2 linked regions of the Astyanax mexicanus genome follow. The protein of the gene in region 2 purifies or fractionates together with the protein of the main gene of each other region. This does not show direct contact. Links are inferred from orthologs where the notes say so. Each region holds a gene or a part of one and is shown on either strand. Other genes may lie near its edges.

What was found. Proteins that work in one complex are often made in the same cells at the same time.
Region 1: the proteins of hspa12b (region 2) and eef2k purify together in Homo sapiens (affinity purification with mass spectrometry; 3 studies listed by BioGRID and IntAct, with this or other methods). This does not show direct contact. The link is inferred for Astyanax mexicanus from reciprocal best matches to the Homo sapiens genes HSPA12B and EEF2K.

Annotation. Positions count from the first base shown.
Region 1 is NC_064422.1:23,411,018-23,418,753, reverse strand, and holds the start of eef2k (eukaryotic elongation factor 2 kinase), read right to left. Parts: upstream 3,087-7,736; 5' UTR 2,773-3,086; intron 2,230-2,772; 5' UTR 2,170-2,229; coding exon 1,927-2,169; intron 524-1,926; coding exon 461-523; intron 1-460. UniProt on the Homo sapiens protein: Threonine kinase that regulates protein synthesis by controlling the rate of peptide chain elongation.
Region 2 is NC_064415.1:19,784,725-19,792,128, reverse strand, and holds the start of hspa12b (heat shock 70 kDa protein 12B), read right to left. Parts: upstream 3,079-7,404; 5' UTR 2,878-3,078; intron 2,758-2,877; 5' UTR 2,582-2,757; intron 1-2,581.

The DNA.
Region 1 (7,736 bases), on a different chromosome or scaffold from region 2:
GTAATCATGAGGCTAATGCAAATGTATGAAAGTGCTATCCCTTCATTTATCTATTGGTACATGCGCCCAGACATTTTTCAGTAAGACATTACAGACTGTACTGTAATCGGTTTATCATTATTTGGACCAAAAACAAATATATGATACTATGTTAAGCACTAAACATTAATTAAATTATTACTAAATAATAATTATTCAACATTTATGATTTCATGATTACTTTTCAGTGGTTTATTTAATTTCATTATGGTTGTTTTCTTGTGGGGGGTAAGCTGCTAAAACACTGAGCAGGAACAGGTGACGCAGAAAAGGGGGTGGAACTCCTATTGTGAAGGAACAGCATGCGTACCAAAGGAAGCCAGAGAAAGAATGGATTAATGAGTAAGGGAAAAGAAAGAAGTGAACAGTGCAGAGAGGCTAGAAAGTACTGAACGTTGAAAAACTTGAATGTTGAACATACCCGACCTTTCTCAGTTAAAGAACCAAACCTGACCGATCGCACCTCTGGCTCCTTATTTTTGTTCTAAATAGATAGGGGAGGAGGAGGTAGACACAGTGGAGAGTTAGAAAGACGTAAACTACACAGTAGCTACATTAGGATTGCTAAATACTAAATAACTTCAATGCCTAGATTTTTTAAAATGGACCACAACTGAATCTGAAAAGACCAGGCTTGCATGCATCAGTATTCAGAGCCTAACTGTGCTGAAGAAGGACTTAAACAAAACCCAAATGTATAAAAAGACAGGACACCATGTGTCATGACATGCATCGAGAGACTTGAGTGCTTGTCTAAACCTACCCACAGAGATAAAACACTGTGTCATGACTTCCTGTTCTTTAAACAAGGTTTAGTGAAGCAGCTGCTGGTTACCCTTGAAGCATGTGTTTCAGACAGGGCTCCTTCTCCATATATGGGAGAAAGATTGTACAAGAGAATGCACGACCATTTGTAACGGTATTGTAAAAACAATATGTTGTGAAAGGATTGCAGCATTAGGAACACCTTTAATTAGCAATAAGATGCTACTAAGATTATTGTAATATGTTCTAAAGCTTACATTAAAGGCTTCTTTGTATTTTATGTAAATTAAAGAGCCCAACCTGTTGTGACTGACAAGGACGTGTCATAATAAAGATACATCACTGACTAGGGGGTGCTATTTTTAACCCAAAAAAGCCCATGCTGATATATATGTCACACGCCCTTTGAAAGATGTGTAAAGTTCCTAACATCACAGAACAGTATGTGAACTGGTATTTATGCAACTCATCTTATTTTTTTTTATAGAATGTAGGAGTGTTGGGTTAGTGCTGGATATAAAACTAGCTCCTTTTAAAAGTGCATTACTTGCTTCTATAGCTCAGTTACAACCATTTAACTATTCAAATGCTTAAATCAATGTTTTACGTTCCTTAGAACTATTTCTGACCTGATTTCAAGAACAAAAATGTTAGAAAAAATGGTTAGGAAATTGGTGGTGTCATTTATGTTACATCATAATTTTAACCTCAAAATATTTAGTCATGTGCCCACAATAAGAAACAAACATGAACGAGCTGCTCACTGTTTTTATCTGATTAAATTCATTTTGGATTTGGTATCAATATTCCGAAATGTGTCTTGGCTCTTATGGGTTAATATTTCAAGAAAACTTCTCATAAATGAAAAATCAACTTAATTAACAAAAAATATTTTTTATATATATATTTAAAGTTGTTTTCATTCACATATTTTTAATAAATTCAAGTAAAGCTTCGTTGTTTGGTATAAATTGTTCTGTCTTTTTGGCAGAACAGTGGAAGTGTTTTTTAGCGGTTTTCGGGCAAACAGTTTTGATCGCCTAATGTGTCAACGCATCTCTATTAAATACGTAAGACATGAGGAACACATTAATGAAACATACAAAATAAAATGTTCCTCACCTTGTAAGTGAAAGAGTTTTTGGGCAGGGAGTTAGAAAGCTGCCTGTTGTTGGCAATGTTCTTGAGGTAATCGCAAATTTCCTTAGTAGGACTGACAGGGTCATCAGTGATGGGGCAGATATAGAAGTCGTCATCGTCATCATCAACTGAAGGGTCGCGTCCAAAACGCACAACCCGTTCACCACTACTCCTTTTTAGGCTGCCCACCTCCTCCATACTGAACATCAGCTCGTCGTCTGCCATGGTGTTGTTGTTGGTGTTATTGAGTGAGTGACAGGCTGGAACTTGCAGGATTGTTGACAGCTGAAATACATACATGAACACAAAATTTAGGCAAGTCTAACAGGACAATGAATGACAATAACTCTCAGAAAGTCTTGGTAGCTAGGTTCACGTAGCTGTGACATATTTAGCTAAATGAACACCTATTCAGGTAGGTTAAACTACACATTGAAAACGCTTATTTTTGTTTATAGTAAACTTAAATGGCTTTACCTAGCATGCATGTGAATAAACAGCTTTAAAATATACATATAAATAGAGTTTTTAAGCTAAGGTTAGCATATTAGCAACAGTATTAGCTAACTGCCATATGCATCTGAATAGCTTAGTTAAACTAGCTGTCCAATCCCCACATATTCGACTCAAATGAGCCAATCAACATAAAGTAGCAAGCAGGAATAAATACAAAACCCCTACTCGTGTAACCTAGCTAGTTCTGGAAAGCTGTTCAGATTGTGTGGAGCTACAGAAATGAAGCTGCTACCAGCTAAAGAACACAATGTGTCATTGTATGAGCTGCAATCTAAAGTAAACATAAGAGGACGCGGATGGCTACACGCCTACCTTTGGCTTGTATAAACCAGGCTATTCACGGGAAGAAGGCATGTCTGTCGTTCACAGGTGGAGCTTCTTCTCTTCCTTTCTCTGCTGTCCAGGCCCAGGTGCAGGTGCGTTAAATCCTGTGAACGCTTGTTGATTTGAGCTCTTCGTTTCAAGGGAAATTTCAGCTGCACTGTGTGACTGACTATCCCTGAAACAGCTCTCGTCCCATTTAAAGGTGCAACGTGTCCTCCTCCCCCAGCCGCAGCAGCAGCAGCTCTGCCTGCCCTGCTGCCTGTTTTTGAATGCACTTTCAGGGAGGTGGGGGCAGTAACATTAGCCTGCTCCACTGCACTGTCACCCTGCCATGACCCTGCTGCGCCCTCTAGAGGACCAAACCCCCACTCTCTGACTTGGTGAGGGTTACAAAAGAATAAATAAATAAACCCAATATAATAAAACAGTACAGTGTTGTCTGGATGTGCCCCATAAGCATAAGCATGTTTTTCGAAGCTTAAACTCCTGTTTAGAGCTGTAGCTGAATACATAGCTCTAACACTCTCAGCCTTCAGATTAACGCTGTGTTATTAGTGCAGGTTTCCTCCTGCAGGGATTATAGTTACTGTTAATAGGGGAGTAGTGGTGCTGGCAACAGTGGACCACCAGAGGTCCCAGTGAGCGACACAAGCAGGCCGTGATTAGAGTACAGCCCGTCCACAGCGCCATGCTTTTGAGTACACGCCATGCTTTGAGTACACGGAGTGCACGTAGCGCACACGCCCACTAACACACACATACACACTCAGAGAGAGAGAGAGAGAGAGAGGGAGAGGCGGACAGAAGCAGCACACATAGCTATCTACAAAAATACACATACGTATGCCAAACCTCAGGGGTGCTTGTGGTGTTAGGAGAAGTGAAAAGTAAACACGAGGTCCCCCTTTCTCTTAGTGTAAAATAAAAACATAATTTCAAAGCTACAGTTTTGCACCTTTAGCCCAAGTTAAAGGCCCAATTAGCCACCAGGATATCTAACTAACCTAGCCACTTCACTATGGTTTACAGTTTTACTTATTTTTGTAACTTAGGCTGATTTATCCCAATTCACAGACCACACTGCAAACCTAAAATATCCTGCAAAATGAAGCAATGCAAACAAAACTATATGTAGCATTATCAGAATCAGAACAAAATAGCACCCACTTAATTCATTTCACCAGATTGTTCTGCTGTTTTAACTGCAAAACGTGTGTAAAGCAGAAAATGTGTTTTAAGTGTTGGAGACTTGAGTGTGGCAGTGTGGCAGTTTAAATAATTCTGATATGAACTTGTTTTCTTTGCATTATTTGAGGTATGAAAGCTCTGCATCTTTTTTGTTATTTCAGCTATTTCTCATTTTCTGCAAATAAATGTTCTAAATGATTATATTTGTATTTGGAATTTGGGAGAAATGTCTGTAGATTATAGGACAAAACAACAATGTACACTTTACTCAAACATATACCTTTAAATAGCAAAATCAGAGAAACTCATTCAGAGACTGTAGCGATCTCTTAGATTTTTTCAGAGCTGTAAGTTATATCAATATAACATTAACATAAATAGCCTAGCGCTAGCTAACTAGCACGTTGACTACTGGTTAAGACGTTTCGGTTAATTATCACTTAACCAACCAATTTTATCTTTGTTAATAACATAGAGTAAACTAACACTGTGCAGGACGTGACTAATGCTAACGTCTGGAGCATGTTTCACAGAAAATAAATGTTGAGAAATGTTTGCTAGCCAGTTAACGTTAAAACTATGAGAATCCATTAACGCCATTCATGTAGCCATAGTTAGATAACTTAGCTAGCGCAGCTAACATACCTAGCTAGCTGAATAACTAAAGTTACAGTTTAAGACATTTCGGGGAATTATCATTTAACCAACCACCGTTAGCGTTGCTATTTATACATATTTTTAAAACTGTTAAACTGTAACTTTACAGGACATACTTAACATCTGGAGCACGTTAGCTAAGTTCAGATAGTTAACGTTAGCTAGGTTGGCTAACTAGCTTAGTTTTCTAGGTAACTTAGGTTGTTTAACGAGCGAGCAACAACAGTGAGTAAGACCTATGTAAATGAATTTACCTCAGCTCTGTGTCTTACAAATAATAAACATAACAAATAATAAATAAATCAGTGTACGCTAAATCCCAAATTCTCACATACATTTGTAACCAATAAGTTTAACTAATTTTAAACGAACTATTAACGATTATAAAATATGATCTGCAGGTCTTAGTTTCTTAAGCCCGAGTTCAAACGCTGCTCCTCTGCGGTAGCGTGGCCGAGTGGTCTAAGGCGCTGGATTTAGGCTCCAGTCATTTCGATGGCGTGGGTTCGAATCCCACCGCTGCCAAACCCTTTTGAGCTTTTTTTAAACGAAGCTGAAACACATTTTGACTGTAAGGATATTAATATCATCACTACCACCAGCGACAAAACAGGGGTCAGTTATTTCAGTCAGACTGCGCTTTCTCTTCGGGTCTCCCCTTAATAATTTGCAGTCCGCGTGCCTCTCTACACTGTTCAGTTCAGCTGCAGCGCCACACCGTGGTTAACTTTTATCATCTTTTATTTGTGTTTTCAGAACAGAACTCAGGCTTTTTCATTTCTTATGACACCACCTTTATGTGTTTTAGTGTAATTTTAGTATTTATTACACAGCAAATGCCGTATAGAACTAATGTAAATGTTATTAATATATATATATATATATATATATATATATATATATATATATATATATATATATATATATATATATTTTTTTTTTTTTACTTTTTCCACAACTATTTGTATGAATGTTTGAGCTGATGCTGTCAAATGCAGCTTTTAGTCTTTTTCCCCCTGATGTGTTTGCTCTTTGTGTATACAGATTAAAAACCTGGAATATAAGGATGATCACAAGTCATCAAACCAAACTGAACTGCTTGAATTTGAAATCAATTGAAATATTGATTTCATGACTCTTAAAACTTTATGAATATGAGCTTGTTTTCTTTGCATTATTTGAGGTCTGAGTGCTCTGCATCTTTTTTGTTATTTCAGCCATTTGTCATTTTCTGCAAATAAATGCTCTAAATGACAATAGTTTTATTTGGAATTTGGGAGAAATGTTGTCCGTAGTTTATTGAATAAAACAACAATGTTCAATTTAGTCAAACATATACCTATAAATAGCAAAATCAGAGAAACTGATACAGAAACTGAAGTGGTCTCTTATTTTTTTCCAGAGCTGTATATGTAAATAAGTGTAGAGTGTGTAATAAGGTGTACTTTTTCTTTTCTGATACCAACACTGGAAACTCCTAAATTAAAATTTGTTTGCATCATACCAAGACTTGACTGGATAATTTCTTTCTTGGTACCGATATTAGATTAAGCATTTTCTATTTAAAGAAATCTATTCTTCAAGAGTTGTTTCATTAGATGCATTGTTTCAAAATTAACCCATGAACATTGTTTGAATAGCTAACTGATTCGTTGTCTAGATATAATATGTTTTTGTATATTTCAGAGAACATTCTACAGTGATTCTACAACGCTATGCAAAATTATGGAATTCACCACTCTTGGATGAAGTTATTTCAATTGTTTTTTTCCAACTTTTTAGAAATAAAAATAAATCACAGGGACATCTCACAAAACTATCCTTCTTCTAAATTATAACATTCTGTTATTCTGAAAAATGTTTTGTACTTACTTTTAGACCAAGTAGAAGAAAGAATATGGAATCACTCAATTCTGAAGAAAATATCATGGACCATCTCAGTAATTTACAGTTCTAAATCAAACACGCTGTCATAATATTAAATCTGCTAATTAGTCTTCAGTTAAAAAAGAGTGCTGAAACCTTGGAGAGCTGTAGCACAAAACAGAGTGACATGAATCGTGGCTTCAAAAAACAAAAGATGTCAGTTGAAATATAGGAGAGGATTATAAACTTCCTTGAGAAGTTAAATCATCATGGAATGTTGCAAAAGATGTTGGTTGTTCCCAGCCAGATGTGTCTAAAACAAAATGGGAAGGTTGTAAATGAGAGGCATACAGGTAGAACAAGAAAGGCATTGAGGTTTCAAGATGGAAAACTTGTAGCAACAACAGAAAATTCACTGGACTCAATGTCTCAAAACTGGAATCAATCTGTGACTGAACTGTAAGAAATGACCTAAAAGAAATGTGGATCACATACAGTAAAGCTTCATTAACACCTAAACTGAAAAGAACAAGGTTTCAGTGGGCTAAAGCAAATCAATCATGGAGTGTAAATGGTTGCATGTCATTGATGATATGGGTCTGCATGTCAGGTAAAGACCCAGATGATATGACAGTCATTACATTTTCAATAAATGGCAAAGTCTACATTCTTATCAAAACAACTGAAAGGATGTATGGTAATGATAACTTTTTTCAAGATAACAAAGGACATGACAACTTTTCTTCTAGAAAGACATCTAATGTCAATGGCATGGCCTTCAAATAGTTCGGATCTCAAACCAGTTGGACATCTCTGGTGAAGAAAATGGTCAATGACAAGGCACCAAACTGCAAAGCTGATCTGGCAGCAGCAATAAAAGAGAAACAGATTGATGAAAAATACTATTTGTCATTAGTTCAGTCCATGCCTCGGAGAATTCAAGCTGTTATAAAAGCCAGAGATGGTGCAACAAAGTACTAATGGTGCAGTGGTTTTCCTCGTAATTCTATAAGATTTTCCTCAGAATTAAGTGATTAATTTTTTCCTTATTTCTTAAAACTCCAGAAGGTTGGGGTTTTGAAAAAAGAGAGTTTTGTGTCATGTCTCTGTGATTTATTTGTTGCTGAGGAATGAAACAATTATAAGAACATGATCCAAGAGTGGTGATTACATATTTCTTGCCAGGGGTTATATATAGAATTGCTTCTGTATAGTACCAAAAATAGTTTTGATAGTCACAG
Region 2 (7,404 bases):
TGGAGCATATGGAAGATTAAGTGTGTGTTGTAGCATGCAGGTGTGGTACGTCAGTATGGTATAAACTATTATATATTACTAGTATTTTAAATAATAAAAGTGTATAACTATGGTACATAATAATGTTACATAATAATGGTATTTACTGCAATTCACAACATTGTCAATATGCACTGTCAGTATGCAATGTTTTTAATCAATATCTGTAATATATGAAAGTTCTATTTTTCTATATTTTATAACTGTAATAACTTTTTTTATATTGTATAACACTGTCAATATGGTATTCAATGTTATTACTAAATATATGGTAATACATAACACAGTTGATGTATAAACTGGTAAAATGGTATTATGCTTTTTTGATTTGGCATATAGCTTTAATATATATCATTTCTGATGTATATGAATAGAGTATATAACTTTTTATGTTAAATAGCTATAATGCATGGCTTTTGGATATAGAAAACCACTATGGTATATTAAGTTGTTGTTAAATTATATAACTTTCATACATATTAATTCTGATGTATATAACTAGAGTACAACTCTTTTCTATGTTAAACAACTATAATACATAACAGTTTTGGTACGGTATATTACTTTGGTAACGTTCTGACATATAGAATATTTAACTTTGATGCATAATATTTCTGATGTACGCAGCACATGCCATATAACTTCTTTCTACATTACAAAACTAGAATAACAGTTTTAGTATGGCTTATTATTTAACATAAATTATTTACTTTTTTCGATATATAGATTAAATAAATTATGTTTTGATGCATTTAACTATGGAGTATAACTTTTTCCGTGTTCTATAAGTGCAATATGTAAAATTTTTGGTATGTTATATACCTATGGCATATATCTTTTTGCTGTGCTATATAACTGTAATACATAGCATTTCATTACAGTATGTGATAATATAGTATATATATTATAATAATAATAAAATGACTTTTTTTTATAAGTGTGATACACAATATTTTTCATGTAATATATATATATATATATATATATATATATATATATATATATAATTTTTGCTATGCTATATAACTGTACTGCATAACATATACAGTGTATATCTAGGGTAAATATCTTTTTGCTATGCTACATGATCTTGCTGAAATACAAACCATTTTTGATATGATGTATAGTTCTAGTATATATTTGTATCATATATACTGCAAAACTGCCTTATTTAATAAGTACATATATTTGTAATCAGCATATCATAAATCCAGCTATAAGGGCTCCACCCATTATACAGACAATCAGGAGTAGCATCACTCAAGCATAAGGAAATGCTGCAAGCTGCTGTATGTCCTCCAAAAACAGCATGGAGTTCTAAATATGGCTCAACACAGTGGCAGAAATTAGACAAGCTATTGGTGGAAGTGCTCCACCTTACTCTCTCTCCTCCCATCTCACAATTCCCAGATTATCTGCACACACACACACACACACACACACACACACACACACACACACACACAAACCTACTATAGATTCCCTCTTAACATCTTACACCATATTTCTAACAACACCTAATCACATCCATCACATCTCACAACTCCCTGAAACATAAAGGTTCCTACACTCATTTTATGGAATATGAAGTTCTTGGAAATGTTTCAATCTGTGCAGAATCTGTACATTATATGCCATTATTGCTAATATATCTCATGTTGTTCTTTTGTGAACATTCATTGAAAGGTGATTAGTGGAATTAATAGTGGTTTGTTTGTGCACTGACTGCATAACTCTGGGCTCTAATATATGTATTGATATTCAATTATTCAATCATCATAATCTGCACTGGACGCTTTTACTTTACTATATTAATTTATTATATTAATAAATCAGCTTTATTTGCATATTAAGTTCTCTCTTGCGCACACAAAACTGTACTGTATTTATATTTATGTATGTATATTATTGTTGTTGATACCTGTACCTCATTCAAATCTGTTCTCACTGCACATATATATATATATATGTATATATATACATATATACATATATATATATAATACTATAACTTTTAATAAACTACCTTAAACACCTTGTCCAATTAAAAACACGTATCTTCAAAACTGCAACTTTTAATGATGGAGATAAACCTTTTAATGTAAGTCAATGTAAAAAGAGTTAATTTCATGTAATTTATTTCAGAAAATTTGCAAGTGTTAAGAACAGTTTGTGTGTTCAAATTATGTAGAAAACTAAAAAAAATAAGAATCTTGTTTTTCATTGTACAGTAATGATATGCTGGTATAAGAAAATTATATTTTTTATTTTATTCTTTTTTTATATTCTCTTATATTTTTATGTGTCTGTGTGTGCGCTTATAGAACACTTATTATTTTCTTATTTTCCTCCCTCAATAAATAATAAAGTGTCATCTTATCTATATCTTCTGCATCAAGAACCACTCTGCTAAAAAAAAAAAAACTGACTGTACATGAACCGAACCCACACAGTGATGTCATACTCTATCATCCAGAGCCATCCAAGAACATCCAATTCTTCTTCAGCCCAAAATTAAAGCTTTCAAACAATATCAACTCACCCTGGTGTTGATGACACAATGCTCTGCTCCTGCTTGACCAGCAATTTCCAGCTCTGTTTAAAGTCCTGCAGAAGTCCAGAGACCACAGAAGAGGAGAAACTTCCAGAGATGATGCTTCTGTGGCTACTGGAGGCTTTAGAGTGACGAAATTCCCAAACTCCCAAAGCCGGAGATTTCTGCAGAGCAGACAAAAGAAGAAGAGGAATGAGTGTGAGCTCTGAATGCTTTAGGAGCAGCAAAAAGTTCCAAACTAAAGTTTCCAAACTAAAGTCCAGCCCAGAGAGAATTCCTCTTACTCTTTCCCTCTCCCTCTCTCTCTCTCTCTCTCTCTCTCTCTTTCACTCTTTCACAGTCTGTCTCTCTCTCCCTGTCTCCCTTTCTCTGTGTTCCCTCCTGCGCCTGTATCCAAGCACTCAATCCCTCAACTGCACTGGAATGTCAGGGAGGAAAGGGTGATAGAGTGGGAGCCACACTCTCTCTCTATTTCTCTCTCTCTCTCTCTCTCTCTCTCTTTATCTCACACACACTAGTTGGCTCTGGAGGCTGTTGTAGTTCAGGAGAGCAGGGAGGGGAAAGTGACTTCATAGGGGAACTTATTCAATGACCGCATGTGTGTGTGTGTGTGTGGAAGAGGGAGGAGTGTAGCTGGAGTGACAGTACACTAATTAAGTCATCTGAGCTCCTTCCACTTCTCTTCCTTCCACCACACCCCTGCATCCAACTCTCTGTTTTTGTCTTCTTCCTTATCCTCCTCCTGATTCTCTTTATTCTGCTCTCCTTTATTTATTTTTTTATTAGTTACCCTCTTTCTTCCCTTCTCTCTTCATGGTTTACTTCTCTTGTAGCCGTGTTGCCTTTCCATCGTACCAAGCTGTAACTATGAAAGCTACAAATCTTCCCTTCTTTTGTTAAGTATAGACAACCTGATGCATTTTAAGATTTGTAGCAATGGCTGTGCCAAAAATACAATTATTTAATCCAGCCAATCATGTTGCAGCAGTGCAATGCATACATACAGATATGGGCCAACAGCTCCAGGTAATGTTCACAGGTGAGTTTCACCCAAAAACTTTGTATTGCCTATGGTAAATGCCCAGGTGAATGTAATCATGATTTGGTACATAAAAAAGAGATGCAGTATCCCTGAGTTATTGGGCCAAAAAGGACAAAGGATTAGCAGAATTTTAAATATTTCATCCATCTACAGTGCATAATATTATACAACCATTCAAGGAAACAGGAGGAACTTCAGTGCATAAAGGCACAAATCTTAGCTGAACACCCAAGATCACTGAACCATCTTTCAGCTGATCAACCTAATCATAACCATTGTTAAGCACTACAATGAGGAGTGACATGGGATGTGCCATCACACAGTTGAAACATGTATTGTGATCTATTTTTGGAAGAAGTAGACGCTCTGTGCACTGGACAGAAAAAGAAAAGGACCAAACAGACAGTCATGAACAACAATTTCAAAAGCCAAAGACTGTTGCTGGTATATAGTTGTTTCAGTACACATTTTTGGAATTCTTTCCACAAAGTCTTGGATTTACTCAGCACTCAATGAGTGTAAACACAAACATAACGTAAATCCAAGTGGGCATCTATCTATAGTACTAGGCTGAGAGAACAAACTGTTGTAACTGCTGCAACTACTTTAGCCATGTAACAGAAGAACACTTATCCACTTGTGAAAACATTGTTCTAGGATTGGTTGTACAGTTCAATAATAGTTTAAGAAGAACTGTTATGGAGACTTCATGTCCTTTTCTTTACAAATACACACAGCGTCACTACTGAGAAGCACCAAAAAGCTATTCAAGTGAGTAAGCGTGTTTAAAGGCAAAACTTCACATTTTGAAACATGTCTTTTAATAGTGTAATTATCTGAAAACAGTCATAATAATTTACATTTTCACTTAAATTAAATTCAGCTCAGTCAAGATAGTGACAAAGCAGCTTTCCTGAGAGGAACTGAGAGGTAAAGGCATATGGAGAACGTTAATTGTTGATTAGAAGGTAATGTTGATTTGAAGACATTGAAGTTGGAGAACCATTAGAGCTGTTGACCAGGAGTTGGGGAGGTAAGTAAACGGTAATCCAGAACATGGAAAGTGTGGAATCAATTTAATCTGGCGGCAATTACAGCATGGAACAGCACAGCAGTGCCCAGTTCAGGTGCTGGAGTTCAACACCCTGTAGAAATTGAATATCCTGGTGTGTTAGATTAGAGCTAGAGCTCTCTGATTCCTAGGACCAGGGTGGGCACCCCAAGATCTAGAACAATACAATACAATTTTCTCCTAGTGTTTACAATAAACACACACACACACACACACACCTATGCAAAGTTTTGTAAAAGTGCAGAATGGACTTACTACCTAAATGGAAGACATTGCCAGGCTTATATATACACATGCATGCACACATACACATACTGCCAAATGAGAAAAGGCCCTTGTGGATTCCTGGTTTTGTCATATTTCCAAATCAATTTATTTTGGCCGAGTCTGGAAGCCATTACTGATGGCATTGTGAAAGACGAGGCCTCAGTGAGGGGCCCCTGTACCCCCTACACGTCTACCCAGCTCTCTTACACTTCTTTTTCAAACACATCCAGACCTGCCTCTTTTTTCTTTCCTTTCAAAGCCATTTTGCTGGAAATGCATAAAGAACCAATGTAAAAACTATTCTAGTATATTCTATTCAGTCCTCTATATGTCTTAATGTTCACAAATATGATGTATATACTTCAATATGGTGTACATATACACTACATGATGAAATGATCCAGATACTCCTGAAAGAGTAAGAAATTAGCATTGCTAATAGACTGGGGTGCTTTGAAGTACCTGCACATGAGCCTAAGTCACAATGCCCAATGCTAAGCATCAGCTAGACAGGGATAATGCTCCCCAGCTTCTGGCCTCAGAGCAATGCAATGCTATAGTTCATTGCAGTAATGGAACAGCATTGATAAGTGATCCAAAACTAATCATAAATGTGTCTGTGGCTGACTACAATGAAATCCTTACAGAAGTGTTGCTACATTTAAAGAAAATCTTTCCCCAGAGAAGAATCCCTTTACAAAAATAGCCTGGCCAGCTCAGGGGAACCAAGCTGGGTATACTGGTTGACCAACCAAGCTCTTGATTAGCATTGGGTATTTTTTTATTTTATTCTATTTTTATATTAATTTGATGGTTTAGCTGGTTATCAAGCATTATCAACCTGACCAAGCATGGTAACAAAACTACTCTGGTCAATCAGCATGACCAGCAAGACCAAGCTGATCGACCACTATGACCATACGATTGATCGGCATGACCAGCAACAGAAACTGGTCAAACAAAAGCTGGTCATGCTGATTGACCACCTTGGTCGTGCTGGTTGACCAGCTAAGAACGGAGTGATTGAAACCTCAGTTAAATTATTTGGATTAGTAAACAAATGCTTTTTGGCAATATAGTGTATATTGCGATATTAAAAAATATAAAAAAACAAATAGACCACATTTGGCCAGCAGTCAATGGTCCAATATAATGCATCTGTGTGTTAATGATTTGAGTAAAATAAATGCTATTGGTTAGATATTAATGTTAATCTCATAGATATTGCCATGTACAATGAGAACAATATGAATTTTTATGTTTATCAAGCAGAAAAAAAGCTTTTTAAATATTCACTTGAAAACTTGGTCTTTAGCTCGACTTGTTATCAGGGTACCCAGTCAACAAATTTTAGTTTAGTATAATGTTTTCTGAACTTCTTAAAACATTCAATCTTTCTGGATGTTCTTGCAACATTTTCATTTAAAATTTTAATTATTCTGGTAATGTCGCTGCAACATCTCTTAATTTTTTGTTTTGAGAACGTTATTTTTTAACGTTTCCATAATGTTAGTATTAGTTAAGCCGGTTCAACACACACACACACACACACACACCCTGCAACATAACAGTTTTGCCAAAACTCACTTTAATGGAAGCTTCGCTTCACTTTTGGGACTTGTTCTAAGTGTGCGGCTGCAGCTCCAAGCGTTTCTTCAAATTTGACGTTGTGTTTTTGAAGCCAGAGTGCTAGTTTTATCCTGTTAGCTTGTTAGCTTGCTAGCCTGTTGTTATTTTGGTGTGGTTGCGGCCGACAGCAACCACTGTAAGTTCCAGCAATAAAGAAATGACTGTAAACAGATTTCTCACCCATCCTTTCAATGCGTCCAGCCGGACAGTACAATATCTTTTACTAAGAAAAATGAGAAAGTAATGCACAGTGACTTGGATAAGTAAATTACTGGGTTGGAAATAGTAATGCGTTAGATTATTTGGTACTGGAAAAAAAATTCAGATTACAGTAACACTAAGGTATTCATGACATCACTGGTCAAATCTCATATTAACACCCTTGACTGTAGAACAAATCTTTGGAAATTTAGGATCAGTTTCCCAGACAAGTACTAAACCTTGTCCTGAACTACACAGCATTGTGAATGGAGATCCTGCACTGAAAGTAAAACATGGTCTGGCATTGGGTTTTGTATTTATCATTTACAAACAAAATCCAACCCAAATACTCCAAAAGCCAATACTCCATTATTAGCCTTGTGAGAATAATAAAACACTGCCTTTGTCTATTTCAGTGTACAGAAGTCACTTTCCACTCTGCTGCAGCCGTTTACAACTATAAACACTCTCACTCCCACAGACCCAGCCTCAGACAGGAAGTCAGTGGGTCAGCTGACAGGAAGGTCTCCCCCTAGCCCCCTACTAGACTTGTGCAGTGCACGCTAAACCAGGAACTGTTTTGGCTCTGACCCCAAACAC